4 linked regions of the Notamacropus eugenii genome follow. The protein of the gene in region 1 purifies or fractionates together with the protein of each later gene. This does not show direct contact. Links are inferred from orthologs where the notes say so. Each region holds a gene or a part of one and is shown in the gene's direction. Other genes may lie near its edges. The genes, in order: IFT57, IFT46, TRAF3IP1 and IFT74.

Region 1 (7,214 bases):
CAACTTTTTAGACTTGCAAAATTTGCAAGACTTATCTTCCCTGCTTGCTTATAAAGCCCTTCAGGTGAGACACATTACTTATCTTTGTAACCTTGTAGTCCAGACTTGTACAACTTGGCAGTAGGTAGGGACTAAAATTAAAATAGGCTAAACTTCTTTGGGCCATAATGAGTCTAGTCATTAGGGAAAGACTGATGAGGGTTAGTTGCTATGTGACAAACAGGAGAGAGTACACAGTGGCAACACACCTAACCAGTTACATGATGGGTCCAATGGTTGTAAAATGACAGGTGATGTCTTTTGATTCATGTGTTAAGTAAATTTAAGAGAGAGAGAGCTGCATGAAATTATCAGCCTCACTTTCTCCTCCAGAGTCATCACAGTCCAGTGGCAGGACAGAATCAAGTCAGCTGGTGGTGGCTCCAGATGCAGTGGATGACATTGGCATCTTTGATGTCTAACCAAGCTCTGAGTGTTTCCACAGTGCCTGCTTCAGCTGCCTTCATGACTGCTGGAACAAATTGTTCTCATCTGCCCATTCCACTAGGGGAAGTCTTCATATGCTTGAGGTAGACACCCCCCCTAACTCAACTCACCTCTAGTTTATCTTCAACCTGGTTTAGCCAACCTGCTGAAACAGTTTATCAGGATGTGGTCACCACCATACTAAGGACACAATAATAACTAGTGGAAGGCAGGTTAACCAGGGCATGGACAAAGCACTCATTACATTTTTATTTTTATTCTCTACATTTTCCAGGGTCACCTGAAATCCTTTGGTAGGTCCACAAGTGACCTGTGGGCAATATGTTATACAGGCCTGCTGTAGTCCTAATGTACTAGGCCCCTCCTTTACTCCACTGTTCCACCCCACCCTCATCTTGAAAGGAATTGAAGGGACATTTGTTCAGTGGAATTGATCACTATTTCTTCGGTTTATCTCTGGCAGATCTGTCTGCTAAATATCATATCAATTCATTAAGTCCTTGAATTGGGTTACTGTTTACATTTCTATTGGTACCGCTATTGTCTTTCTATACTCTTGAGGAACCTTGTCAGTCTTTTATCCCCCAATACTTTACACATAGTAGGCATTAAGTAGTTTTTGAGTATGTTATAAAAGATTAATAGTTTCAAGTCACTTAGAACTTTCACAAGTTACTGATTGTATATATAACATATAAGATGTATATATAATATACTATATATAATATATATACTGAAATACTAAAACTTTATATGTTTAGATACTATTTCTCAGTTCCCATTTGACCCTCAACACTTTCATGGCATGGTATATAAAGTACTGGGCCCGGAATCAGGAAGACCTGAGTTCAAATTTGGCCTCATATACTTACAAGCTGAATGACTCTGGGCTTAACCTCTGTTTCTCTCCAGTTCCCTTCATCTGTAAAATGGGGATAATAACAGCACCTATTTCCCAGGGTTGCTGTGAGGACCAAATGAGATAATAACTGTAAAGTGCTTAGCAGAGTGACTGGCACACAGGGAGCACTCCAGAAATGTTAGCTGTTATTACAATTGTTGCTATTTGGAATCAGTTGAAAACGGGCATTGAATAAATCAGATCTACTCATCTAAACTCATATAAACCAAGCTTCACAGTTTTACGACAGAGCTAGAATACGCTAAAAAGAATATTTAGTTCCACACCCTCATTTTATAGATAAAACAAAAAAAAAATGAGTAGAAGAGAAATTGACCAAGGTAACAGCAATTAAGTATTAGTCATTCAGCCTAGAATCCAGGACTTCCCTACCCTAATACAGTATACTACAATACTTTCTGTTGCTAAAACACCAGTTATTAAGTAACTGGAGGAACCAGAAGAATCAGAAAAAGGAAGAGTGGCTTGAATCTTCTGACCAGCTCCAAGCTCACCACCAACCCTCCATGTGGTACACTTACTCCTGCCTCAACTTTGGATGACAAATTCCCTGACACTATTTTTTTTAAACCTATAGCCGCCCTCTTTATAGTGTCTGCTTTCCTTATTAGCTGCTTAACTATGGAAGAAAACTGGAAACAATATCAGCTGATCCACTTCAGCTGATTTTGGATTTTTGAGGGCTGTGTTAGCTCACCCTAAGCATGGGCAGTTTCTCTCAAACTGGAAAGGTTTTAAAATGGGCCCTGGCAACTACTATGTCTGTTAACTGCACACCATGTAGAGAGGCTCAGTACCAGAGGGATGGTTATTGATAAATCTTTTTTCATCCCAGCAACTTTTGAAAACATCCACTAGTCTCAATAATGACAAAATGATGGATCTTTCTAGGCTGGGGTGGAGAACCTGTGACCTAGAAGGCTGTAAGCTACAGCTAAGCATTTCACCTGGAAAAGGTAAGGAGAGCTACTGAACATTAAAAGCAAAACAGGGCCAACTAATGCCAGGAGATGAAGAGAGCCTCAGGAAAATGGAAATTGCCCGTGATAAATAACTGTTACCTTCTAGGAACACAGAGAAAATATATCATTGTCAAGTGCTACCATATCCAAGTACAAGTGAATGAAAATTATTGGATAAACAATCCTGATGAGACCTAGAAGGAATGGTTTGAAAGGTATTTTATCCACTGAAATTAGTTTAAACAGTGAAAAATCAAGAGATTTTTCTAATCTGTCTTTCTAATCTCTAATCTAAAACTTTACAAACATTTCCTCTGTATCTCCTGTAACTACTTCTTAAAAAAAATAATAATGAAACTATAGAGAAAGTTTTATTCCTTAGTTGATAACTATATTTCTCCCACATATTTAGACAGAAAGCCCATGGGAAGGCCATACACCATTGCCTGCCAACAGAATCTGAAGCTGGTATACTTCCTCAAGAGCAAATCTAACGGCTTCAATGCCTATTTTCCTTTCTAGAATCACTCTGGACTTCAGTTTCCATACCATTAAGTGGCAAGGCCAGTTTAAAAGGTTTCAGAAATCCTTGTGGTTGAAAATCTGTAGACTTGAACTTTCCTCATTTCTTCACCCTTGAAACCAGTTAAAGACACTCACTAATTGCTAAGTAATAGTTATTAAGTGCTAAGTGATTTTTATCCTCAAAACCGCTATAAATCACTTTCTAAAACTTGTTTTTAAGCAACAGCTTGCAGACATTCTTCAATCACAACCCTTCTGAGGTACTCTTCACAAGACCACTTTTCAGAGCTTTGCAAACACTCTCCCTCCACTAATTTCTGCAGTAGCAGGTAAATTGGTTGTAGATGTCTCCACCTTTACCTTAAGCCCTGGTCTCCATCAGGCAAAAATGCACCAAGACCAAAAACTCTCATATTTTCCTTCTCTCTCTCTCTCTCTCTCTCTCTCTCTCTCTCTCTCTCTCTCTCTCTCTCTCTCTCTCTCTCTCTCTCTCTCTCTCTCTCTCCTCCCACCTCGATGCCTCCACACTGTAAATATCCCCTAAATTGAGAGTTTTCAGTGATAGGTCAGATAAAAAGAATGTTCTGCCCCCTTCCTCTTTATTCTAAGAGCCTACAAAATCTGTTAAGGAACTTTATAAAGTGCAAGCAATAAGATGCACTAGGGAAGAAAATACACATCATTTCTTGCCAGAGGGAAGGAGGAGGGAACTTCGAAGCTTACACAAAATTCAGAGTTCTACGAGCTGGCATCTATGCCTGCCTCACTAGGGGGTACAAACATATTCTGCTCGATGCCTACATCCTATCCAACTTCATAAACATTGATCCCTGTGCTAAGCGCCAGGGATGCAAAAGAAGCAAAAGAGAGTCCCTTGTCCCATTAAATTGGGGGAGACAACAGGCAAACGAACACACACCGACCAAAAGACAGATACGCAGGCTAAACAGACAACGATTCCGAGGGCCTGGGGAAGGCTTCCAGGAGCAGGCAGGCTGCTAGCTGAGCTGATTCAGGGAAGCCAGGTGGAGCGGAGGAGGAGGACGTTCCAGGTGTGGGGAACAGCCAGAGACAACGCCCAGAGAAGAGGGATGGAGGGTCTCGTTCAAAGACCAGGCAAGAGCCCGGAGTAAGTGGATCAAAAAGTGCGCAGGAGGAGGTCGGAGACAACAAGACCGGGAGGTAGGACCGGACCAGGTCTTCGCTTGGCCCAGGAGTTTGGGCGGCCCCGCCCGCCACCTGTTCGTTCATGCAGAGTGGAGTGGGCGGGGTCTAGGGAACGTCGGTGTGGCGCCCCGGGGCGCGTGGGCGTCACAAGGCAAGGGCGTGACGTCACCGGAGGTTGACGCGTTGCCAGGCGACGGCGGCGCCCTGCGTTAGCGGCCGAGTTGGATGCGGCCTTGCTGGGGAGGTAGTTGGGCCGCTCCCCCCCACGCCCCCACCCCTGTCCTCCTCCCCCGCAGAAATGGCAGTTGCTGCGGCCGTGGTGTCTCCGGTAGGCGTAGAGGACCCGGTGCTTCGGCCCCGTGGCGGGGACGCGGCCGGGGAGGGTCTGTACGTGGAGCGCGGCCCTGGCGCGGCCTACCACATGTTCGTGGTGATGGAAGACCTGGTGGAGAAGCTGAAACTGCTGCGCTACGAAGAGGAAATCTTGCGCAGAAACAACCTGAAGCCCCTGTCCAGGTAGGACCCCGAGGCCGCGACCACGCCCCCTTCCCCCCGCGCAGGCCGGACCCAGGGGCTGATGGGGTCCCGTCCGTTGCTTAGTGCACGCACCCCTTTTACCTTGTGGCCCCCATCTTCTGGGCTTGCCCGGTCCAGCTAGGACAGGAGTACCGAACCCGAGGAGTTCCGGGCCCTAGGTGAGAGGGGGTAGGGAGCGTGCAAGAGTTCCGATTGGATATCTTTCGAAATGTGTCACTTTTGCAAGGCACGATGCCAGGGGAGGCTGGAAGATGCATTCGTGGGGCATATGGACCGAACTTTCGGGACTACATCTGTTCCCCCTGGCGTGCGCCCCGGGGTGCTCGTTCTCTGAAGTCCGAGGAGCGGCACACCTTTGTTTGGGGGGCAGGTTCAGAACCTGTCATATATCCGCAAAGCAGTGCCTCTTTTGCTTTGGCCAGAATAGACAGCCACCACTTTCTTCACCAACCCACCTACTCTAGATTTAGCCAGATGAATTGGTTTCATACGTTTCTTTCCATAGCGAAGATTAGCGTTGGTTCTTTTTGTGTTGGACAAGTGAGCTCAGATTAGAGTTGGAAGCACCCTTGCTTTACTTAATGTGTGATAAGTCCAAATAATTTTCCTGGAATTATCTCAAACGCCTTCTTCTACTCTTCATTCCTGTAATCATCCAAAATTTTAAACTGCCTGGTCCTTATCTAAGTCATCTCACTTGCATAGTTTATCCATAATCAGTGAAAAGTTGGAGGAAAAGAACGACGTGCTTATAATGTTGGTTTTAGTCATAGGTCATGATTTACAGGTTATTAGAGATTGATTTCTTAGACTGGATTATTAGTATAATGTGGTTCGTTTGTATTTCATTTCAACAAGCGCTTAAGTGCCCACTCTGTGCAAAATATTTGTACTGCCAAAGATACGACACTTTGCCCAAATACATTTTTAAGATTAAAAGTAATATGTTGCTTGTTTCTGATATCAATTATGTTATCACTATTACCTGACCAATTCAATCAGGATCAAGACTCTTGAGTGCATCTTAAATATGTGTATAGAGACATTGGGTTTTTTCATTTCCATTGATCAATTTTGACCAAGAAAGTAGAGGTGTAGTAATAACTATCTGTAACCATATATACTTCTTGGGAGAAGCAGTGGAAGGGTTTAAGAGAGATGTGTGTACTTGTATTTATAATATGACATCATCTCCCTTCTTTGCCCTTCTTTCTGTTTCAATACAAGTGGATTGTGTATTGAAAAAAGTTGACAACTGCAGCATCGATAGCATGCTCTTAATAAATGGATTTTTTATAAATTGAAGTTTATGATCATGACAAAAGCAGGAAAAATTCCTGAACTTTAATGTTATTGCTAGCCATCTTGCTCTGAAATTTGGTACTAAATTTCATAGTATCTCAGATCTGGGACTGGTTTTTGTTGGACTTGGTGGATTGGTTAGAAGTCACATTGAACATGTGTATTTTGGAGTTGGAATGTGGTATCTTAAAGCATTTTAAGTCATATGATGCATTCAGGATCTTCTTAATCTTTTTTAAGTTTCAGATACACTTCTTTATTTCATGTCTTTTCTTCCTTGTGCTACAGACATACTAGTTCAGCTATTTCCATGTGCAAATAACAGTAAAGATTTTTTCTGATTCTTTAATTTGGAAAGGCCATGTAGAAGTGTTAAGATCACAGAACTGAGTTATCAGAAGACCTAAGTAATCAAATCCAATGCTGTCAATAACTAGCTGTATAACTTTTCTAGGTAGTTTAAAACAGAATAATAAATATATTTTTAAAAATTGGCTTAGTCACTCTGGGTGCCTCTTTTATCTGTACGTTTCCTTGCAGCTCTAATACCTGTTATTCTCTGTATTAAGAAACTTTAATGTTAATATGGGTATATTGAAATTGATGAAGCGATCTATTATTAGCTTTTTGTTTGTTTTTAATGTTGTTATTAAAATAAAACATCCTTTTGAAATATCGTAGATGTTACTATTTTGCAGCTCTTTAAGATTTCTTTTTTTTTCCTTTGAAACAGACATTATTTTGCTTTGCCTACCAACCCAGGTGAACAGTTTTACATGTTTTGCACTCTTGCTGCTTGGCTAATTAATAAAGCGGGATGTCCTTTTGAACAGCCACAGGAATATGATGACCCCAATGCAACAATATCTAATATATTATCTGAGCTTCGATCATTTGTAAGTGCAAAAGAGTTTGTTTTTTGTGTTTTTTAAGCTTACTGTATTTGCTAATTAATTCCAATATAAATGGCACACTGTAATCTTTTTCCTGTTTATGAATTTCTAACTTTTTCAGATGGGATATATCAAAATATATCAAAGTGTTACAATTACATTCAAAGTATCATCAACATGGTTTCAAGTCACTAGCTTCCAAAATTTACACTGGTACATAGTACAAAAATGTGCATTGTTTTTCTTAATCTTAAAAATTTCTTAATCAGAAGTTAAAAACGTGGATTTTTAGCTTACCTTTCTGAAAAAATAAGCAGCATCCAACTGAACAACAGTTTATATTTTGACACATCTTTTGATGGTGGTTCATAATGCAAGTATGTTTTTTATTTCTGGTCTTACTCCAGGGAAGGGGTAGTA
Region 2 (7,205 bases), about 81 Mb from region 1:
TTATGTATATGGCATTTTTGAAAGCTGATGGACACACAAAGATAAAGAGAGACATTGGAATGTCTGCAGGAGGAAGATGGAAAAGATGTATGCCTATCATCTTCCAAATATCTGAAGACCTTTCATGTGGAAAAGAGTTACTCATATTGTATGGGGTAGTCCCTGCTCTCAAAGTGCTTAGTTTGTAAAGGGGGATATAATATTTATACAGATAAATAAATACAAGACAATTTGAGGAAACAGAAACGTTTAACAAAGAGGATGGGAAAAGATTTCCTACAGAAAGTGGAACCTTGAAGAAAGTAAAGGATTCGAACAAGCAGAGGTGAAGAAGTGTTTTTCAAGTATACAAGATGGCCTGTGTTAAAGTATAGAGGCTAGAAATGGAATATCTGGATTGGCAGAACAGTTACTTACACAGGGCTCTCATTTATCTGGAATTTTTGGTTGTGAAAGCAAAGCATGGCCCAGGGTCTACAAGTTGAGGTGGGGCTGGCACATAAGCAAGGCTCTGGCCTGGAACAGGGGGCACAGACTTAATGAAATAGATACTTTACTATATTCAAGAAATTACCATTCTATAGGTAAACAGAGAATGAAAATACCGCACCAACCTACCAATAGCACTCAGGACTCTAGAGAAAGTTGTGATAGATTCCCCTAAAGAACCCATATTTTCACGTATGTGAGTCATGCATGATCTAGATGTTACATTATACTAAAGTATGCATGAACATAAAAACATTCATCTAAATAAACAAAAAGTGCAAGACTCACGTACCACCTGAGTTTGCAAATCCAGCTGTCTTTTTAAAGAAAGATTTCAGAGACCGTTCACTTAGCTTAAAAGATAAAACTCTTAAAACACGAAACTTTAAAGCACCTAAACAGTTACATTCAGAATTAAATGCATTGAAATTCACTAAAAAGGATTTCAGCATGTGAGAAGGATGTGTAAAAATCCCCATTCAATATTTTGGTGATTATTGGAATTTTAAAACCAGATCTGTTTTTCTGGAAACTTTATATAATGCTGAACAAAAATGTTACCAAGAACTACTGTTTTATGCAACTTATCTAACTAAAATAACCCTGTCAGTTTCTTAAAGTCCAAGCAACATCTTCCCTCCTATCTCATTTGACCATCAGCAAAAGCCATTTTGACCAGCATCAAATCACACTGTCAGCTCTTCAATATGTGGAAAGGTACTTTAAATCAGAATACTGACATACTGTTAAATGACTAGAAAAAGTGTAATGGACATGAAAACATTAGGTATCCAAAACAGCAAAATGAAGCTACTGAATTTTAATTTAAAGGTGTTACCAGAATCAAGTTTGGGGTAATTAGAAGCTAGAGTATTCTCATACAAGTAAATTATTAAAATTATGTTTTTTTCTCCAAGTGGAAATAGTATTATTTCCACACTAGAACATATAATCACTCTCCCTAGATGATTCGGGGCCAGGAGGCCCAGGATCAGTCCTATACTTGTCTATTAATTTATTCTTTTTCTACTTAAGAAATTGAGATATTTAAACAGATTGAATTTGTTTAAATATCTCCATTTTTAAAATAGTTTATGAAAATTTAAGAGTTTAAAACGAAGGAGTTTCTAGGGTAACAGATGACACTACCTCTCTAAATCTAAACTCCTCAAGGATCCCAGAGGCCTGGTTCTCCACGTTTCTATGCCTTCAACTGGACGTGAACGGGGGCCGGTCGATCAGCAGTGGGTCCTGAGCTTTCTCTGCTGGAATCAATGGGAAGGGAGGGAAAAGATCTCAAGATAGCCTCGACGCAGCTAAACCCGGCACTGATACAGATCACTCTTTAAAAGTACAATTTTCCTGTACCGAAACCTATTACATGGAAGCACCGAACGGGGATGGGGAGTCCAGGAGACTAGCAGGGAGGGAAGCGCTGGAGAAGCGCAGCCCGGTCCAGCCCGGCGCCCGCCCGCTCGCTCTCCTCGTCCACGTATCTCGAAGGGGGAAGGGGCCTGCGGAACGGAAGGGAGGCCCAGCCTGCGCTCCGCTCCCTCGGGCAGGGGCACAAGCCCCCAGGCTGGGCGCCGGCCGCAGGGTACCGGCGGGAGCCCAGCGGGGGAGCTGCAGCTGGCCCGGCGTCCGGACGGCAGGGGGGCCCTCACTGAGATTCCCAAGGCCTGAGGAGGGCCGGTCCAGGAGCATGGTGCCCGCGGGGCCCCGCGAGGAGGGCTGAGGCGGGGCCGCTCCACAGGCAAGGCCGGCTGGCCGGCCCGGGAGAGGGGCCGCCGGATGCCCGGAGGCCGGACCGGGGGCCCAGCTCGGATCTTACCATGATGAGGGCGGTGGTGCGGCGAGCCCGAGCTCTGGCTCCACTGGGCACAGGGTTGAGGGACCCGGGAGGGGAGGACCGGCCACTTCGGACCTGCCGCTCCCCTGACAGGAGCCACCAGCGCTTCGCTGCTTGCCAAGATGGCGGCCCCGAGCCACGTCTCCAACCGGAAACGGCGCGGGTTAAAGGGCAGGGGGCGGGATCAGTGGGGGCACCATACCCGCCCACCCAGTCTAGACCCATTCGATCTCACACGCCTTTGTCCCCTGCGCCTTCCTTGGTCCGACGGTCGCCCTTGCCCACCTGGGCACCGGGGCGCTTTGGTGCTGCGTGTTCTCGTTGGCTCACTCCTCTATTTCCCCCCCACTTCAGCGCCATCTGCGATCCAGTGCAGTTCTATTTAATCCTACAACCATTTATTAAGTACCTATTGTGTGTATTGCAGGGACCGCAAGACCAGCCCAGCAGGTCTCTGCGGCCGAGGAAGCGGGGGAAGACGCGTGTTCGGCAGCTACAGTCGGCTTAAGACTTTAGAGAACCGAGGCACAGTGAGCGTAAGCGGAACCTGGAGACCGTTTATACAACCACCACCATACTGTGAAGAGAAACGACTTCTAAAGTGCTTAGCGCAGTGCCTGGCACTTACATGCTTCTTGTCGTAAAAGGCTTGGGAACTGATCAACAGAATGACCCCCCCATAATTCAGGGGTCTCATGCAGACATGCTCCCCCCTCCTGACAGAGATGTGATGGACTCACAGTGCATCACGCACACCACATATCACGTAGCCAATGCAGGAATCTATTTTGCTTAACTATATATGTTCATAGCGGGGGTTTTGTTTCTTCTTACTTTGGGAAGGGAGAGAGAAAAGATGGATCTTTGTTTTCAAATAACATTTATTTTTCTTAAGAAGGACTTTATGTAGAAAGTCAGCATATTTTAAAATTTTTTCACAGGTCTGGGGACTGTGGCTAGAAGCTCACGGAAGCTCACGGAATCTCCGCCTGGGGTCGAAACAAAGAAGTACTTGTGCTGTGTTACACGGTGACTGCCACTCATTTCACTCCTTAAGGCTTTCGGGGGAGCCATCAGCCAATCTCGGCTGCAAAAGAAAGGAATCTATTCTGCTGCACACGCCTCGTAGGGGCAAGATTCGGAACAACTGACACGTCCGGGAAAAGTGCCTACCGGACCGTCATCATCCAGGCCGGAAGAAGGAATGCTCCTGCTACCCCCAAGGTTTAGCAGATCCAAGTGGTCTGGGCCTTGCCCTTCGTCCATTCTTCCCTGGAGGATCCGCGTGTCGACTTTGAAAGGACCGACGGACCAGAGAGAAGTCGCCCGACCGGCGGGCGATCCCTGATGGGAAGCGCAGTAAGCGGCTTCTCCCGGCGGGTCTCCGGCCACAGCGGCGCTGCCTGAGGTTGGCCGCTAGATGTCACCACAGGCGCGCTTCCCGAAACCACCGATGCGCCGGCCTGGCTGCCCAGAGGGGCTGCGACCCCTCTAGGCTCTCGGAACCGCGCCGAGGAAGCCTCGGACCGGTGGGTGAGGCGGCCGCCCCAAGGAGGCTGGCCGGAGTTGTCACGAGGTCAAACGCGAAGGCGAGGAGATCTCGCGACGGCTCCTCTCAAAGACTGTCCGCCCGGCCGCCGCCTGAGCTGGAGGCTCCTGCCGTCGTTGGGCCTGGGGAGGGGCTGAATCCGGCGCTCTCGGCCCCCAAGTCCTCTCCAAATGGAGGAGACGGATTCGGAAGGACTGCAGGTAATCCACCGGGCCCGGAGAGGCTAGAGAGACCCCCCCCCCACCAGGCGTGACAACCCGGGAGGACGCCTTGTCTCCATGGCAACCCCTCGGTCTCCATAGCAACACAGGGCCCGCCCCCCCCGCGGTGCTTCCGGAGAGACGCGTCCTACCTGGGGAGGGGGGATGCACTTAGGAGTTCAGGATGGGCCTGAGGGAATGGGATTCCTCCTCCCGTTGGGGCTCCAGCGGGAGACTTCTTCCCTATTACCCCCAGAGATGACCCCAGGACAGAGAGGGGGACTAGGAACCCCTTCAACCTTGAGCCGCTCCCGGCAGCCCTGGGGGGACGAGCTGAGCCAGAGGACATCTCTGTGGAAGCCCCCGGGCTGGGATGAGCGGGTCTTACAGGTTTCTGAAGCGACATTGCTGGTACAGGGGCTCCCCTTGATGGCCCTCCTGGCTTGCAGCGGAGGGGGGAGGGGATGGGGGAGGACCCGCCTCATCATTGCTCTTTTTGCACAGACCAAGGTGGTTGAGAACCAGCCGTACGATGAGAGTCTAGAGATCAATGACTCAGAAGAGGTGGCGAGCATTTATACTCCCACCCCGCGGCACCAAGGTAGGGAAAGAGCGCTTCTTCTCCACTGCAGAACGAGGGGGCTCAGGGGCGCTCTCCAGACTTACAGTGTTTGAACCTAGAACCCCGTTATTTCACATGTCAGCAGTCTCCTTCTTCCCACCAGCAAAGTGAGGGAGGGAACTAATCCTCCCAAATTTTAGTCTGCTTTGGCGCTCCTGTGGCAAGTCTAAGCCCTGCTTAGCTTTCTTTTTAATTAGATTTTGTTGTTTTAATTAACAGGAATTTGTTTTCTCTCCCTCCTACCTTTCTCCCCCATTGGAAAAGAAAAAAGGACAACAATCTCCTTATAACATAAAATACGTATAAGCAAGCAAAACAAATTCTCATATTGATCATATCCAGTCCCTTATTTCTACATGTGTAGTTACCATCTGTCTGTTAGAAGATAAGTAGCATTCCTCATCATGAGTCCTCTGGAATTAAGAATAACCATGAATTGATTAGATCATAAGTCTTTCAAAATTATTTGTTTTTACAGTGTTGTTATTGTATAAATTGTTTTCCTGGCTCTGTTTACCTCACTCTCATCAATTTAACAAGACTTCCTATATTTCTCTTAATCGTTTGTTACTGCACAATAGTATTCCATTGCATTTGTATGTTATAATTTGTTCAGCTATTCCCCAACTGCTTAGCTTTCCAGACCCTCTAACAGTTGACCTCAACCTACCTATCTAGCCTTGAATTATCACTGCTCTCAAACAGGTACCTTCTTTTTCTTACCCATTACTGCCCGTATGCCATCTTTGCTTTCCATTGGGCAAATCATGTAACCTCCTTGGACATCAGCATCTTCATCAGTAAAATGAGGAAGTTGAACTAGAAGATCTTAATGTCCCATCCATGTGACTCTTGTTCCCCTTGTCTTCTCCTTGACCTTTGCTGATTCAAATCCTACTTATACAAGAAGGCCGAGGTCAAGTCCTTCCTCATTGGTGAGACCTTGCTTGACTACTTTAGTTTTCAGAGAGCCCTTGGAGTCATCAGATCTGGACTTGAATCCTGACTTTGACTCTTACTAGCTGGATGGTCCTCGGAGAGAGCAGTTAACTTCTCTGAGCCTCAGTTTCTTTATTGGTAAAACAGGAAATTTTTACTACCTACATCACAGAATGAGGAAAGTGCTTTGTAAACCCATATGGGGGAAGTTGCTCTCTGCCTCTGTATTTCTACCACTTTTATAGTTTGTACCACACAAATCAGGACTTGATTAGATGCTATTTTGTGCCTGTCATATTCAACAGCAGCAGGCATTTAAGTACCTCTGATATGCAAAATTCTAAGTGAGGCACAAGGAATGCCAAGATCAAAAATAATGCAGTCTTTGACCTCTGGGAGCTGGGAGAGAGGCAACATGTGCACACGTGGCAAGTGAAGAGGGCAGAGGAGAAATTCAGAAAAAGTGGTGTAGGACGATTTAAGGAGGTCAGAACACTTTCATTTATGAAAAGAAATTTGAGGTGAAATTAGGGTAGGCTACTTCCAGTTGTGTGCAGAATACCTAGATGATGGAGGAGATGAAGAGTTTAGCCAGAATTATCTTTGCCCTCTTAGGCCTTAAAGTTTAGTTGCTTCCCCAGTTAGGATAAGGCTTATATCTTATTCTGTTACCTCACAACATGAGTGTTACTGTGTCATATGTAGTATATTATTGTATATTTCTTCATTTTTTGTATCTTTTATTAAGAGAGGCAGAAGTGTTATAGTGGATAGAGTACTGGGTCAGAGTCAGGAGTTCTTGGGATTCAGATCCTGCCTCTGATGCTTTCCAGCTTTATGACCCTTGGCAAGTCACTTAACTTTTCTCAGCCTCAGGCAACTTTATGATTTTAAATTACAGGCAGATTACCAACAGTATCCAATCTGGAGTTAGTTTCCACACTATCAAGTAAGATTTTATTAATGCAGTTTGTTTTTTATACCACATTTACTAATAGAGTAACCTTCCCACTCTCCTAATATAAATAAAAAATAATTAAGTAAAACCTGCTAGTGCAGTAGTTGTGACCAGTATAGTATATAACATTCTTTACCCACTTTCACTACTAAAATTGATGTGTTCCAACACCAGTTATATGAAACCAGTATCAGTGGTTGCATTTGATCTGGGTTCTATTGTCTTTTATCACTGCCTTTATTTATATTATTATAGTCAGTGTTTATATTGTTCTCTTGATTCTGATTTATTCATATGTTTTCTCCTGTTTCTCTCCAGATTCCTCAAACTCATTGTTCTTTATTATTGGGCCAATGTCCAGTTGATGTGCCATATACATTGTTTCCAATTTTTTGCCACAGCAAACTGTGGCATTTTGTGTTTAATAATAGTCTCCCATATAGAATGAAATCAAATAAATATATTTGAGTTGTTAATCCAAGTGCATTTTTATGTCTTCTACATACTGTCTCTTTCAATCACTAGTCAGGAATATAGTACTCTAATTCTATTTAAGCAGGTTCTTTTTTCCTTAAAGTCCCTTTATTCTTATTTGTTCT
Region 3 (7,263 bases), on another chromosome or scaffold:
CTCTATGTACACACATACACACACACACACACACACACACACACACACACACACACATACATATATATTTCCTCCAACTACCCTAATAATAAGCAAGATCTCATGAGTTAAAAATATCATCTTTCCATGCAGGGATGTAGACAGCTCAACTTTAATAAGTTCCTTATGATTTTGTTTTCCTGTTTAGCTTTTCATGCTTCTCCTGATTTTTATATCTGAAAGTCATATTTTCTATTTAGTTCTGGTCTTTTCACCAAGAATGCTTGAAAGTCTTCTATTTCATTGAAATTCCATTTTTTTCCTCTGAAGTATTATACTCAGTTCTGCTGGATAGATGATTCTTGATTTTAATCCTAGCTCCTCTGACCTCTGGAATATCATATTCCAAGGCCTTCAATCCCTTAATGTAGAAGCTGCTAGATCTTGTGCTACCCTGACTGTATTTCCATAATACTCAAATTATTTATTTCTGGTTGCTTGTAATATTTTCTCCTTGACTTCTGAACTCCAGAATTTCGTTACAATACTCTTAGGAGTTTTCCTTTGAGGGTCTCTTTAAAGAGGTAATCAGTGTATTCTTTCAATTCCTATTTTACCCTCTGGTTCTAGAATATCATGGGAGTTTTCCTTGATAATTTCTTTAAAGATAATGTCTAGGCTCTTCTTTTTTGATCATGACTCTCAGGTAGTCAAGTAATTTATAAACTATCTCTCCTGGAACTATTTTTCAAATCAGTGGTTTTTCCAACGAGATATTTCACATGGTCTTCTATTTTTTTTCATTCTTTTGGCTCTGTTTTATAATTTCTTGATTTCTCATAAAGTCATTAGCTTCTATTTACTCCATTCTAATTTTTAAGGAATTATTTTCTTCAGTGAGCTATTGGATTCTTTTTCAATTTGGCTAATCCTGCTTTTTAAGGCATTCTTCTCCTCATTAGCTTTTGGACTTCTTTTGCATTTGGGTTAGTCTATTTTTTAAGATATTATTTTCTTCAGTTTTTTGGGGGTGGGGTCTCCTTTAGCAAGACGTTAACTCATTTTTCATAATTTTCTTGCATCACTCTCATTTCTCTTCCTAGTTTTTCCTCTATGTCTCTTACCTGATTTCAAAATCCTTTTTGAGCTCTTCCATAGCCTGAGACTAATTCATATTTTTCTTAGAGGCTTTTGATGTAGGAACTTTGACTTTGTCGTCTTCTTCTGGTTCTATGTTTTGATCTTCTTTGTCACCAAAGATTTTCTGAGGTTTTTTACACTGTTTGTTCATATTCCCAGTCAAATACTAGACTTTCTAATTCTTTGTCAAGATAGGATTCTTCTTCCAGTATAGGTAGGGGTGAGTATACTGTCCCAGGCTTCAGTCACTCAGCATCAGTCACTCAGTCCCCCACAATCTGTGGGCCCAGAGCTCCAGAAGCAGTTACAGCTTTCACTGCTGCTGCTGGTGGTGCTGTCATCAGCACCGCCTCCTCCTCCTATGCCCCAGGGCTGGGGCCAGAGCCCAGCCAGACCAGATCCCACAGAGTTTTTCCGCTGAACTTCCATATGGTATTTAGCATTTGTGGGTTGAGAAGTCTAGAAACTGCCACAGTTGCCAATGATTCAGTCCCCTGAGGATTTCTCTAACCCTATCTGTGCAGACATGGCCCATGCTGGACTGTTCTACTCCCAGACTAGTGCAATAGATGCTTCCTGTTGACCTTATAGGTTGTCTTGTTCTAGAAATTTGTTTCACTCCATCATTTTGTGGGTTCTGTTGCTCAGAATGTATTTAGAATCATTTTTACAGGTATTTGGAGGGGTTTGGTGGAAGAGCTCAAGCAAGTCCTTGCTTTTACTCAGTCATCTTGGTTCCCAAGATTTTCGTCTTTTACTCTCCCTTTTTTAATCCCTCCTTCTGTCTCCTCACTCATTCTACTGTAGCCTCTCTTCCTCCTGAGAAATGACAGGAGTCATTTTCTCTTATGACTGCACTTTGACTTGCCTGGGATATATCACATATTCCCCTCTATGTTTTTCTTCCTTTCCCCTCTTTTATGTGTCCTCTTATTTTGACATTTAATCCCATAACAAGCATTGATTCACCTCTACTTGGGATGTTGTGAGGTTCAGCCTATGATATCTTACGCTTGTTTCTTCACCATCACTTCCATTTGATTTCTGCTTTCACCTTTTTCTTCTCATGTACATTTAGAAAGAGTCTCAATGATTGTTGGTTGGCTGTCCTCCTGTTGCTCTTGCCCCTGTTTTCTTATATTTTTGTTATGTTGGACATTTGAAAAGCAAATACTTTCCTCTGTGTGGTTTTCTTTCTGGGAATTCTCTGAAAGCTTCTTCTTCATTATTGAACATCCACATTTTTTTCCCTAACAGTCAGGCTCAAGTTAGGTCACCTTGGGCTGAGTTTGAGCTCCTTTGCTTATAGGAACATGTTATTTCAATATCTCCTACAGTTTCTGGTCAGTGCTAAAGAGTTGTGTTTTAAAATTTCTTTTGCTTTATTCTTGAAAGTCTTTCCCCTTGTTGCTTAGAAAATGTGTTGTCAATGGAATTGTTCAACTGAAACACTGGAGTTTACAGCATAGGAGTTTGGGGAGTTTTGTTTAATCTGGGGGTGATCTGTGAATTCTTTTGATAGACACTGTTTTTTAGAAGTTCTAGGCAGTTTTCTTGTATTATTTCTCACATTATGATGTTTTTTATTTTAACTTGTGTTCTTCTGGGTCACTTAGTTGGTTTTTGAGATTAATGTTTTTCATGCATGGAGATCACATTTTTCTTTCGTTTCTTTTTTTGGAGGCAATTGGGGTTAAGTGACTTGCACACGGTCGCACAGCTAGCAAGTGTCTGGGACCAGATCTGAACTCAGGTCCTCCTGATGTCAGGGCAGATGCTCTATCTACTGCTCCACTTAGGTGCCCCCACATTTTCTCTTAATGTTATTGCTTCAGTTCCTCTTCTCCCAGTTTGTCTTTCACTTCTGTGTGTACGCATTCCCACTGAGTTATTTTCTTTTCCTTTGTTGGTGACACTTGCTACTGTGGGTTCAAAATTTTTATTCTGCCGAATACTTCTGCTGTGCAAGCTATAATTCTGCATTCACAATTCTTATTTCTCTTTTAAACTATTTGGATTTGGTCATTTTCACAGAGTGAAAAATGTGATGTGTATATCAGGGTAGGGTATTTTGTTACTTTCTTTAAAGTTTAGTGGGGCAATGACTAATCAGACCCTCACCCATTTACCTCAAATATGATAAGTAAGGGAATTGTAAAGTCTTAGTCTTCAGGGAGAAAATAAGAAAGAAAGACTATAGAGAAGAGGGAAGCAGAGAGAGGAGGGGGATGGGAGAGTGAAGGAGGAAAGCAGGGAAGAGAAAGGTTGAGAGAGGAGGCAAACAAAAGAGGGAGGGGGAGGAAAAAGGATAGAGGATTCACCGTAGAAAAGACAAGAAGAATGAGGGAGAATGGGGGAAGTGGGGAAGGAAGAGGAAGACGAGTGGAGGAAGATTCTCTGAGAGAAGGGACCTCAGTGGCCGTCTTGTCCAGTTCTCTCGTTTTGTAGGTAAGGAAACTGAGTCCTAGGGAGGTTGTGACTTAAGAGGGGGAGCGTTCACCCACATGCTTTGGGAGACAGGGAAGGAGGAGGGGGAACGAGAAGGGGGAGGAGGAGAAAAGGTGACTGGGAGGGAGAAAAGAGAAATGAAGGGAAGGAAGGGAAGGAGAGGGGAGGAGAGAGAGGGGCAGGAGGGAGGAGTCCAGAAGACCCGTGGGCTCCTCCCCCATCCCACCCCGCCTCCTGCAGGCTGGCCTGAGGGCGGGGCCAGGATCCTGGCTGGGGCTGTGAGGTGGGAGGTGGAGGAGGAAGGAGGCGGGTCCAGGGGGCTGGAAATGGGGAGGGGCTAGGCTAATGAAGAGCGGGTGCCGCTAGGGCTGTGGGGCCTGGCCTCTGTGGGTGGGCGGAGCTTGCCGTGGAGGAGCTCGCAGGGATGCGACGAGGGGTGGGGCTAGAGTCCGGGTCTTCGGGCCTTGGAAGGGGGGGCCAGGTCGCTGGGGGCCGGGTCGCTCTCAGGGGGCGGGGCCTAGACTCTGGTGAGGAGGCGGGCTGCCGGGCTGGGGGCGACCTCTGGAGGCGGGGACATCCGAGACGGCCAGCCGGGATTGGACGGTGAGGGGGAGGGGACGTGATGCCGGCGGCGGCGGCTTGTTGCCCGTTGCTAGGGCGGCGCGCGCCTGGCGACAGAACGCTGTGGGTCCGCGCAGGCGCCGTTGTGGAGCGCGGTGTATTGTGGGATGGGCCGGCGAGCTCGGCGGCGACGGCGGCGGTGGAGGCGGGAGCGGCGGGGCCAGGCGGCGGCCTGAGGTGGCCCGGTCGCGGCCGGGGCCGCCATGAACGCGTCGGTGGTGAAGCGCACGCAGGACTCCCTGGGGAAGGTGATCAAGAAGCCTCCGCTGACGGAGAAGCTGCTGAGCAAGCCCCCGTTCCGCTACCTGCACGACATAGTCACGGAGGTGCGGGCACAGGCCGGGGGGGCAGGGGAGGCCCCGGGGGGTTGGGCCTAGCGGGGGGTCTTCTGTGGAGGGCGGGGCTGCCGCCGGCGGCCCTCCCAGCTCGGCAAGCTCCCTCTGCCTGTGCAGATCGCCGCTCACGCCTCCGGCTTGCTGCGGGCAGCCCCTGGGGAGGGGGAGGGGAACCTGAGCAGAGCCCCCCTGGGGGGTGTGGGGGGGCGGGGAGCTGCCCAGCAGGGGCGCCCCCGTAATGTGCACGCCGCAGAGCCAGGGGAGTCGGATTCAGTGACCACCTGCGACCTGTGGGGTCCAGGCTCCTCCAGCCCCTGCCCTCCGGAAAGGGTCAGGTCCCGGGACTGTTTGTGGAATGCTGATTTTTTAGTCTTCCCAAGAACGTCCGAGTCGGCTGGATGTGAAACTTCCTGGGCTGGGGTGTTTGCCCGCGTTGCCATGGGAGGCCGGCGCGCTTCCCGACTGCCGTCTGCCCGGAGGCTGGGGGGGTGCGGGTCGGGGTGCGGGTCGGGGCCCTTAGCCCCCCGGTGACGGGCACTGCTTGGTTCTTGGACCGCTCGGGTCATACAGACGTTCTCCCTCTTGCTGGTACCAACCTTCCTTTGTCAAAAACCAACGAAAGGGGGAAATCGATCCTGAAAAACCATGTATTCTGTTTAATGCAACTAGGAGACTGAGAAATTGAAAGATGTGTTTACTGCTGTGGACTAGCCAGTCTATAAAGTGCAGCTGGAGTTTGGGTTTGCATGAAAGAAAATGGAATTCTGTCCTTGAACAACAGTCCCCAGGAAAGAACTAGTCCTTGGAAGATGACCACTTTTGTGCTTTGTGCCGTGCATGGGACAAGATGAACTGAAATAGGACCCCAAAGTCGGGTCTGGTTAATTGGTTTGTTGGGTAAAAGCAGTTAAAAGAATGAAAGAATGCCAGTTTGATCTAACTGAGCTTCAGAAGTGCCTGACACTGCCCTACAAATGTTCCCAGTTTCATGTCATCTCCGTGTTTGATAAATATGTGCCATCTGTTTCTTCATCTGAGTCATTGATAAAAATGGTCAACAGCCCAGACTATCCACCAGAGACATCCCCCTAAGTTGCCACAGAGCCATCATTTGTTTATGCAGACTACGTTCGCTCAATCAGTTGAGAATCTAGTTGATGGTACTGTCATGTAGCCTGGGGATTCCCAACCTTTTTGAGTATGAGAGTCCCTTTTTTCTAAAAGAAAAAAATATATAGACATATCGCATAATGGATATCAATTGAAAAGTAAACAACAAAACATTTAATTCACTGATGTTTAAAAATGAATTTACATTTTCTTCATAACGACCCCATTTACATATGCTTGAAAAGTAATACTTAAGTCTGCTTCTGACAGCATTTCCGTTAATGCCACCGTCACCCAGCCAGGGCCTCCCGTTCGAAACTTTAGAATTAACCTCGATTCTTCTTCATGTCCCTCACCTTCATATTCCAGTGTCTTTCACCCTGTACTAAGTCCTGTGAATTGTATCTGCAAAATCTCCTGCATTCAGCTTGCTCTTTGCTCATTGATTGAAAGCTCTGGGTGCTCCTGTCTTGGCCATTAACTGTTCGTGCTGTTGAGCCAGTCATTACCACTCCCTGAGCCTTGATGTGTGTGCCCATCTCTAAATGGGGGTTGTATAAGGGGTTAGCCCCAGAGGGGCAGCACTGGGGACCATTTGGGCATGTGACAAAGAGAAGAATTGAGATTTGATGTGAGGATAAAATTCCTAACAACTGAAGTTTTCCCCACATGCAGGGGCTGCCTGGGGAAGGAGAAGTGTCTTCATGCAAAGGTCGGGTGCCCATTTGGAGTTGGGTTATGCAGTAGGCAGATTCTTGCTTAGGTAGCAATTGGCCTCAAGAGCTTCACAGGCCTCTTTTGTCCCTGAGAGTCTCTAACCTCTAAGGTCCTCTGAGGTCACCTGCTTCTTTTTGCTCTGGCATTCTTAGGTGCATTGGTTGAGGTAGTAGTAGCAAGACTGAGGGAGAAAAAGAAACAAACAGAAGGACTTGATTATTCATAGGGAGGCAAGATACTTCTGTTGTGTATAAAGAATTGTGGGCCCTCATCTTTTTGCCACTATAGCCTTTCATTGATAGGATGCTAAATTCATCTTATCTGCCAATGTAATAATATTTAATGTTTGCCATAACTTGATGGCTAGAGGTCCTGCCTTAGAGTCAGGAAGACCTGGGTTCAAGTCTTGTCTTTAACATATATTAACTCTTTGACCACTGGTAAGTCATTTAACCTTCATCCCCATATCTACTCACCCACTCCCACCCCAACTTTGAGACTATATAAATTCCAGATGAACTGGTCACCTGCTTCAATGCAGTGAGGCTCCACACAGGAAATTCCCTAGAGCCATGAAATCTCAGGTCTGGACCCCTCTAGCATCCCCCCAAAAGAAAACACCTTTGAAAATTTGCAGGCTCTGTCACCTTGTCTGGTAGGGTGGGTAATCCAAACATCCAAGGTTTTGTCCTCCATGATTTTTGCCCATGATTTTTCCAGAGGGGCCCTGGAGACATCACAGATTTTGTATCTTATAGGGCCAGTTGATTTGACCATCAGTTTCTTTAAAATGCTAGGACCTCTGAAATCTTGAAAAAACTTTTTGATAAAATCAGTGTAAAGCATCAGAATTGCTAAAAAAAAAAAATGGTGTTTTGTTTTTATCTTATTTTTACTGATGCTTTTTTTGTCA
Region 4 (7,782 bases), on another chromosome or scaffold:
GTAATAATTTAATCCATTATAGAAAATCTCAACAATGACAATCACAATGTCAATATATGATAAGTATTCACATAGCTCTGGGGCTGAATAATATATCTTAATAAACGGAACATCTATCATTCTAAATTACAGAAAAGTCTACTACAGGGACATCAAGGCCACAATTCAGCAGCAGACATGAAAATGGGATTTTCAATCTCCTCTACACAGCTCTGCTATAGCACTCCTTGTGCTGCTTCATATAATCAAATAAATCAATTAAAGTTTATCAAAAGTACAAGATATACAAGATGGATACAGGACACAAGATGGATAGATGAGAAAAGACTACCAAAAAGCTCATGGTGATAAATGGCATGTCCTGAGTAGTTAGGGCTGTTCAGAGAAGGGAGAGACCACTTGTGGCTAAGGGTGTCAGTTTTCTGCTTCTGGAGAAAAGCAGATTACGTTGGGGCAATCAAAGAAGCTCATGATTTTGTTAAGCAGAAATGGGGAGTGACGGGGAATGAGATGAAGAGCACACTAAAGTATAACATCTAAGTAAAGGTCCACTCTAAATCACATAACCAGAGGCAGACCCAAGGAATTTGAAGCAACAGCATGGTAACTCATGCAGACCCATGAAGACTCCAGGTTTATGCTTCAGTCATTTCATTGCCAGTACAGAAGACATTCCCATACAGCCATTAATAACTTCCTTCAAGGGGATTGGGTGTTGGTAAGAATAAAGCTAGGAGTTCACTCTAAAGTGCTGATCTTAGAACTGATCCAGTTTCTTGAGGTGTAACAACGAGGGTTAAACCCAAACCCAGAGTAGACCCTGTATAAATTCTTACTCCCTTCCCTTTCCCCACCTTCTGAAGAGAATCACAGTGCACACATGCACCTCTAGATCTGGCTGCAACAAGACTGCTTACTACTTTTCACCTGGAGTACTATGATAGCCTCTCGGCAGAACTCCCCTACCTCCAGTGTCCTTCCATAACCCAGTTTTATATTCCCAATTGGGGTCAACTGGGCCCTGCAAGGGTCCAATGCCTAGAATTATAAATGGACTCTTTGGGACAAGAATTCAGCTCCTCTCCCACAAAATCCATGGCTTTTAGCAGCTTTTATGAACCTGGTCTGGTGTGAAAGTGATTGTGATCCAGACACCTCAAAGGCAGAGTCAACAAGTAACTAAGGTCTCCAAAGCTGAGTGGACCTGGACCCAACACATAAACTAGATTATACTGGCTGATATGATTGTGACCTTCCTTCTTTGTCCCTAGATGTTTTGCTTTAAGTCTTAAGTGACTTTTAAAAGACTTTTAAAAAATAAAAGGTCTACTCCTTTATTCATTACTAATATAACTGAGTCTGGGTAAAATGGTAAGGTCCTTAAGGGCAGTATTCATATAATTTTTCATCTCTGTTTCCTGGAATAAGCCAATTGTTGAACAAATAAGGTGTTTAATAAATGTTCAGTGAATTGAACTGGGGTGATTTTTATCTACCTTATTATAGCAAGTACCGAGCAACTCTTCCATTTAGTTAAGGAAAATCCTAAGATATAAACTTTGAAAGGATGTCAGTCTTGATTAAACATTTAGTTGCAAAGCTAAAACTAGGGTTTAAAGACATATTTACAGGAGCAGAAAATAGTATTCCCTCACAGAATAAAAAGCAATGAAAGATAAATTGAGAACTAAGCCCAATCATCTGAAAAACATATATAAACAAACAGCTATTAGTATTTCTGTAGCAGTTTTTCCCTTCAGTAATAGAACTACCACATCTAACCTTCAATATCTCAATACTTGATGCATTATATGAGGAAATGGAAACGTCATTTGAGAAGATGGATTTGGAAGTGCTGCGTACCTTGTCTAGCACATATAGAAGGAATCTGTGCTCAAGGTGACAATTCTGAAGATCTTCAGGGATCGATTTTGAACATCTCAAAAATTCAAGTTCATGGTATGTAAAGCTACTATCACATAAAGCTCCTCTGAAGATACTAGAGATGTGAGCCTGGAGTACAGAAGACTTGGAAAGATATAATAACTTTCTTCAAGTATCTGAAGAGCTGACACATGGAAAACGTCCCTTATTCTGTTTGGTTCCAAGTACCAAACTAGGAAGTTACAAAGAAGCAAATTTGTGCTTGAAATGAGAAAAAAATTTCTTAAACATTAGTGCTATCCAAAAGTGTAATGGGCTACCAAAGGAAGTAGGGTGTACCTCACAAACAGCAATGGATGGATAGCCACTGAGAATGCTGTAAAAGGAATCCTTTTTCAATAATGGGTTAAACTAGATATTCCATTTCAGAAATTCTATAACTCTACCGAAAGAATGGAGTGAAAAAAAATGCAGAAGATATTATCATAAAAAAAGATGCAAATGACCAAACACTAGCAAATCCCCATCTATGTCTTTCATCTATATAAAATCTTTTTGAGAATAGTGTCTATATGGATCAAAGAGTATCCCTGATAAAAATGTGAGAAAAAGCAGGCTTTCACAGATAACTTTCAAAAGAAGTCACATGTTCAGGACCATACAATTAGCTATGAAAATTTGTTAATTGCCAAAAACAAAGGAATAAATTTGACTCAGAGCACTAAATGCACATAGGCTCTCCTCTAACAAGAACAAGATACAAAAGTTAAGATTATTCTTTGATTTCTTGACTAATGCAACAAGAGAAAGCTGATGCAACAATATCCACCAAGAAGGCATAAAGCAGGAAAATATATGCTACCCAAAGATTTGCCGATACAACAGTCCATACTCGAGAGATACTCCATAGGTAGTAAGGTTCTCTAGATACTCCTGTTGCAGATAACACTGTACTGATTACATCAAACTCCGGATTCCTATAGGGCCTCCTTGGTGAGATCCAGAGTCACTCAAAAGGCTGGTATAACAAAACAACCTAGGCAGGAGAAACAAAGTGGATGAAGAACATGTATTGCTTATAAATTGTACCTTGAAAGGTAGATGAATGAGTTATTTCATCAGCAAACCCGTGCGTATATGTGTGGGTACGTGGATATACATACCCACACATACAAACTCATCTATCTTGGACAGGCACTGCAGATGAAAAATGAACCCAGAACAGAAAATATGGAAAACAATAAGATTTTCTGATGTGCCTTTGGAGTACTATGTAAAACCAGCCTTTTTAATACAACTCATTTTTCATCTTTACTATATGGCCTCCAATCATATTCCAATGTCCAAAGAATCAAAATTGAAAAACACCCAAAGGGTATGTGGAAAGACACACAGCAGGCACAAGCGCACTATAGCACGTTGCCAGTGATAATCTGTATGCAAGAAGTGGTGTGAAAAAAAGGTGCCATCTAGGAAACATACAGCCTGAACAGAAATAAACTAAACGTCATTTGGAGAGTAAACTGTTGAGAACAAATGGAGACCCTGACTATTATTACACTAGGAACAAATAAATGCTAAAAGACAAAGAATGAAAGAAAGGTGCTTTTTGAAAGATTTACTACAAAACAGGGAGAGGAACTGCATTACTACAAGAAAAGTATCCACAATAAACAAGTCTCCAAGATCCTGAAGCATTATCATAGGCATAGTCTTATTAAGACCAGGGGTGGACAAGCTGCGGCCTTGAGGCCACAACTGGCCCCTAGATCTTCAAGTGTGGCCCCTGGAAACTGGCTTCAGTCAAGGGGCTGAACCTGAGGACCTAGAGGGCCACCCCTGGTGGAGACATTCAGCCTAACTGCTGACTCTGGCTTTAGAGGGGAAGCCCCTCGTGACTGAGGAGCCCCTTAAAAAATTCTCGCTGTACTTGTGATGAGACTTTAGATGCTCACATCTGAGCAGCAGGATCTAAGATGAAGAATGACCACTATCCGGAAGGCATCAGCGTCTGTGAGAAACCCCAAGACAAAATTTCCCAAGTGGTTTTATACTGGTTTTTAGAACAGCTTGTATACAAGTGAATCCCGCCCACCCCAGTCGGCCTGGAAGCTCTTCCTGGCCGTACCCGGGTCACGTCTAGGAAGCACAAAACCACAGCTAACAACACCATCCCGGAGGTAAGTTCAGTGAAGTCTCCGGGCCTAACCCGAGCGAGAGGAGGCAACCACGCGCGGCTGCGTGCTGGGAGACCCTGAGGCTAGAAGGCCCGGTCCCTACTTCCTCCTGGTTGGAAAAGCGCAGGGAAGTCTCCAATAGACTTCAGGATTCTGCAGAGATTCCCGGCCAGGACGCCTGGGGGGGCGGGGGCCTCCAAAAAGCGAAGGCTGGGGCGGGGCCACGCCGCTCTCCGCACTCCGAGGCCATGCTCACCTGTTCGGGGCCCACAGGCGAGTGGTGCGATCTCGGGACACGGACACGAAGGCCCCCGGCGGGTAAAGGCCGGCTACCACGCCCCGCACGTCCAGCTCGTGGCCCAGGAGCGAGCAGCTCAGCCGGTACCTGCCCCCGCCGCTCGCCATGGCCCCGAATCCGCCGGCCAGCGCGGGGATGAAAGGAGGGGAGTAGGGAGTGCGGTTGAGGGGGGAAAATGGACACCGTGCTTGTCCCCCAAATTCCCCAAAAAGGGAGGCCGGGAAAGCGTGTGGGCAGAGACCACCCCCGCTAAGCGCCCGGGCCACACGCGCGGTGACTAGAGAGTGAGAACAGGAGACCGGGGAGGGAAAGAGGGGGCCGTAAGCAGAACGGGGCGGGCGGGAGGGGGGAAGGGGGGAAGGACAGTAGGCTCTGACACAGCAACCCTATACCGCACGCCGGAAATGCGTCATCGGCCGCCGCCGGGCGTGACGCGTGAAGCAGAGGCCTCAGGAGGGCGCGACGCGTGAAGCTGGGACCGCTGACGGGCGCTCTCGCTTCACTCGGTCTCCGCGCCCTGGCTCACCACTCCGGGAAAGAGAAGGGGGTGATGATATTGCCGCCGCCGAGGAAGGCCAATTCTCACATCCACTTCTGGATTTAACCAAGTCCTAGTTTGAAACCAGAGACCAGTTGGAACTACACGTCCCGCGGAGCAATGCGGCCACCGGGCTTATGGAGGGGGCGGGGCGAGAGTGAACTCCATCGGAGCGGTCCACGCTGCAGCTTTGTGTACACACATGTCCAGTCGCAGCAGTACTCAGCCTCTCTCGATGCCATCTCCCCCAGAGCATCCACCTTCCTCTCGTGTATAAGCTCCATCTTCTGCTTTTACAAGCCTCGATGTCTGGGGAATCGCAAACTAGGCCTAAAGTGGGTGATCTGTATGTTCTACAGCGTGTTGGACATCTCGAATTGGCATCTTAAACGTAGCACGTACAAAACAGAACTCACATTACCCTCCCAAACCCTCTTCCCTCCTCCATTCCCCTGTTACTTCTGAAGTCATCCTTGACCTGCTCCCATCGCATTCGTTGCCAAGTCCTGTGGATCGTACCTTATCCGCCCCCTTTGCTGCTCTGACGCTGCCAGCGACGTGGTACGCTATAATCCCTTATCGTCTCGTACCTGTGCTATTACTGCAGTCGCCTACAGGTTGGTCTCCCTGCCTCTTCTCTGCCCATTGCTGCCCATCCTCCACTCAGCTGTCAAGCTGTCAAGGTCTGACCGCGTCATGCCTCACACCATGGTCTCTGCTCAGCACAGTCCGGTGGCTTCCCTGTCACACCCAAGATCAAACATCCTGTTGGACTTTCAAAGCCTTCCATAGTCTGGCTGCCTCCTACCTTTCTATGCTTCTTAAACCTCTTCCTCCCCACACACTCTACAATCTAGTGACGCTGGCCTCAAACAGGGTATTCCATCTCCCTACCCCAAGAATTTTTACTGGCTTTCCCCAGTCTTGGAATTCTCTCCAAATTCTGGCTTCCTTCAAATCTCAGATAAATGCTCACCTCCCATGAGGTTTTTTTTTTCTCCCATCCCCTTTAATGCCAGTGAGCAGTCTCGCTGTACATATCTTGTGCATAATTGTTTCCGTGTTGCCTTCTCCATTAGATTGTGAGCTCCACCAGACCAGGGATTGTTTTTGCCTTTCTCCCATACATCTCCCAGTAGTTAGCATGGTGCCTGGCACATAATAGGTGCTTAATAAATGCTTCTTGACACTAGGGACCATGTTTAACCACACATTTATGTATTTCATTATTTTTAAAAGTCTCTGAATACTTGCTATTTTCTTTAAAAAGATTTTTCTTAATGGACACTACATAGTGGAAATGAGGTTCTGTGAAATTATAAACCTTTATTATATGGCACAGTGGATAGAAGACTGGGCCTGGAGACAGGAAGATCTGAGTTAAAATCTGACCTCAGACAATTACTAGCTGTGTGACCCTGGACAGTTCACTGAATCCTGTTTACCTAAGATGCCTCATCTGTAAAATAAGCTCGAGAAGGAAATAGTAAACCACTTTTCTTTGCCAAGAAAACCCTAAATGGGGTCACAAAGAGTTGGTCAGGACTGAAATGACTGAACAGCAAATATGAAGTACACTATTCTACTAAGTGCATTCATTTCTTCATTGATGGTATGGAGCATATTTAATTCAAAGAATATTTAACAGTTAAATCAATAAGGATTTATCAGGCATATACTATGTGCCCAAAACAGAGGTAGGTGCTAGAGATAGAATTACAAAAATGAAGTATTCGCTGTCCTCAAGGAGCTTACTTTCTGCTAAGGGAGTATAGAACATGTTCACAGATGAATATATACAGGATATATACAAAGTGCACAATTGTTGAGAGAGGGGAGCACAACCATTGAAAGTTTTTGAATATCTTAAGAATGACTGTGTGAGAAAGAACCCCTCCAGGCCAAACAGGTGCAGTAAATTATACAGACTCAGGGTGAATGAAGCAGTTGCTTCATAATAAGTCCTGCAGGACCAGTGTGGGACCCAAGATGAACTCCCCGTAATTGTGAGAAATAATCCTCTTAGCAAAAATTCCACATGGCCTTCAGTAAATTAAGGAAAGATTTCATTAATCTTTCTTTTGCCAGAGATGGCGGGAGCCAGGGTAATCATAAGGAGACACACCCTTTCAGACAATTACAAAGCTTCTAAAAACCATCCCGATTTGAATTTCCTTCCTGCATCCCATTGGTCAGGTCAGGATTCATAGCCTATCTGAAAACACCTAAACCCCACCCTACGTGGGTCTCCATCCCTGCTTACGTTTCTCATTTTCTTTATACTTTCTTTGGTAAAAGAATGACAAGTCATAAATTATTTTAAAGGAATTTCCTCAATTAATAAGAGACTGAACCCAGGATGTTGAAGTTTCTTCCTTCATCTAAGAAGAGCCCCAATATTCCAAATAGTATTGTGGAATGAAGTTCTCTAGACTTCAGGGTTGTGAATTTTATCCAAAGTATAAGGAAGGAGATGTTCACCTTTAGCTATGCTGATAAGCAGATACCCACATTCGGTTTAGTGAAATGTTAATCCACATTCTCAAGACTTTCCTTCTAATCCATTTGTTTTCCTGCATTCCACAACAAATAAGAGACTTTCTGGTATTACATGTTTTCTGTGGAAACAAAAGTTCAATTCATCCCTTACAACTGAATACTGTTTTAGGAATGTCTATACGGCAGTGGAAAGCAGCCTAGATTGGAGTAGGGAGGAAGCATTTTATGTAATTTTAATGGTTTCAACTTGTACTGGACCATAGAATAGAAAAGTCATAATAGTGTAATATTTCATTTTAGAGATGTTAAGGGACATACCAGGAGAAGTAATAAGTAGCAGAAATCTGAAGCTAAACTGATTCTGATCCTAACTAGTAAAAAGCTGT

Evidence for each region.
Region 2: the proteins of IFT57 (region 1) and IFT46 purify together in Homo sapiens (affinity purification with mass spectrometry; 3 studies listed by BioGRID and IntAct, counting the BioPlex papers as one, with this or other methods). This does not show direct contact. The link is inferred for Notamacropus eugenii from reciprocal best matches to the Homo sapiens genes IFT57 and IFT46.
Region 3: the proteins of IFT57 (region 1) and TRAF3IP1 purify together in Homo sapiens (affinity purification with mass spectrometry; 3 studies listed by BioGRID and IntAct, counting the BioPlex papers as one, with this or other methods). This does not show direct contact. The link is inferred for Notamacropus eugenii from reciprocal best matches to the Homo sapiens genes IFT57 and TRAF3IP1.
Region 4: the proteins of IFT57 (region 1) and IFT74 purify together in Homo sapiens (affinity purification with mass spectrometry; 3 studies listed by BioGRID and IntAct, counting the BioPlex papers as one, with this or other methods). This does not show direct contact. The link is inferred for Notamacropus eugenii from reciprocal best matches to the Homo sapiens genes IFT57 and IFT74.

The regions. Positions count from the first base shown.
Region 1 is NC_092876.1:360,922,127-360,929,340, forward strand, and holds the start of IFT57 (intraflagellar transport protein 57 homolog), read left to right. Parts: upstream 1-4,213; 5' UTR 4,214-4,360; coding exon 4,361-4,578; intron 4,579-4,680; exon of another isoform or gene 4,681-4,769; intron 4,770-6,634; coding exon 6,635-6,797; intron 6,798-7,214. UniProt on the Homo sapiens protein: Required for the formation of cilia. Plays an indirect role in sonic hedgehog signaling, cilia being required for all activity of the hedgehog pathway.
Region 2 is NC_092876.1:280,244,481-280,251,685, forward strand, and holds the start of IFT46 (intraflagellar transport protein 46 homolog), read left to right. Parts: upstream 1-4,190; 5' UTR 4,191-4,252; coding exon 4,253-4,498; intron 4,499-4,591; coding exon 4,592-4,688; intron 4,689-7,205. Other genes in the region: ARCN1 (coatomer subunit delta), read right to left, coding at 2,321-2,323. UniProt on the Homo sapiens protein: Forms part of a complex involved in intraflagellar transport (IFT), the bi-directional movement of particles required for the assembly, maintenance and functioning of primary cilia. May play a role in chondrocyte maturation and skeletogenesis.
Region 3 is NC_092873.1:65,997,797-66,005,059, forward strand, and holds the start of TRAF3IP1 (TRAF3-interacting protein 1), read left to right. Parts: upstream 1-4,248; 5' UTR 4,249-4,391; coding exon 4,392-4,514; intron 4,515-7,263.
Region 4 is NC_092872.1:117,072,768-117,080,549, forward strand, and holds the start of IFT74 (intraflagellar transport protein 74 homolog), read left to right. Parts: upstream 1-4,777; 5' UTR 4,778-5,514; intron 5,515-7,782. Other genes in the region: PLAA (phospholipase A-2-activating protein), read right to left, coding at 4,318-4,466. UniProt on the Homo sapiens protein: Component of the intraflagellar transport (IFT) complex B: together with IFT81, forms a tubulin-binding module that specifically mediates transport of tubulin within the cilium. Binds beta-tubulin via its basic region. Required for ciliogenesis.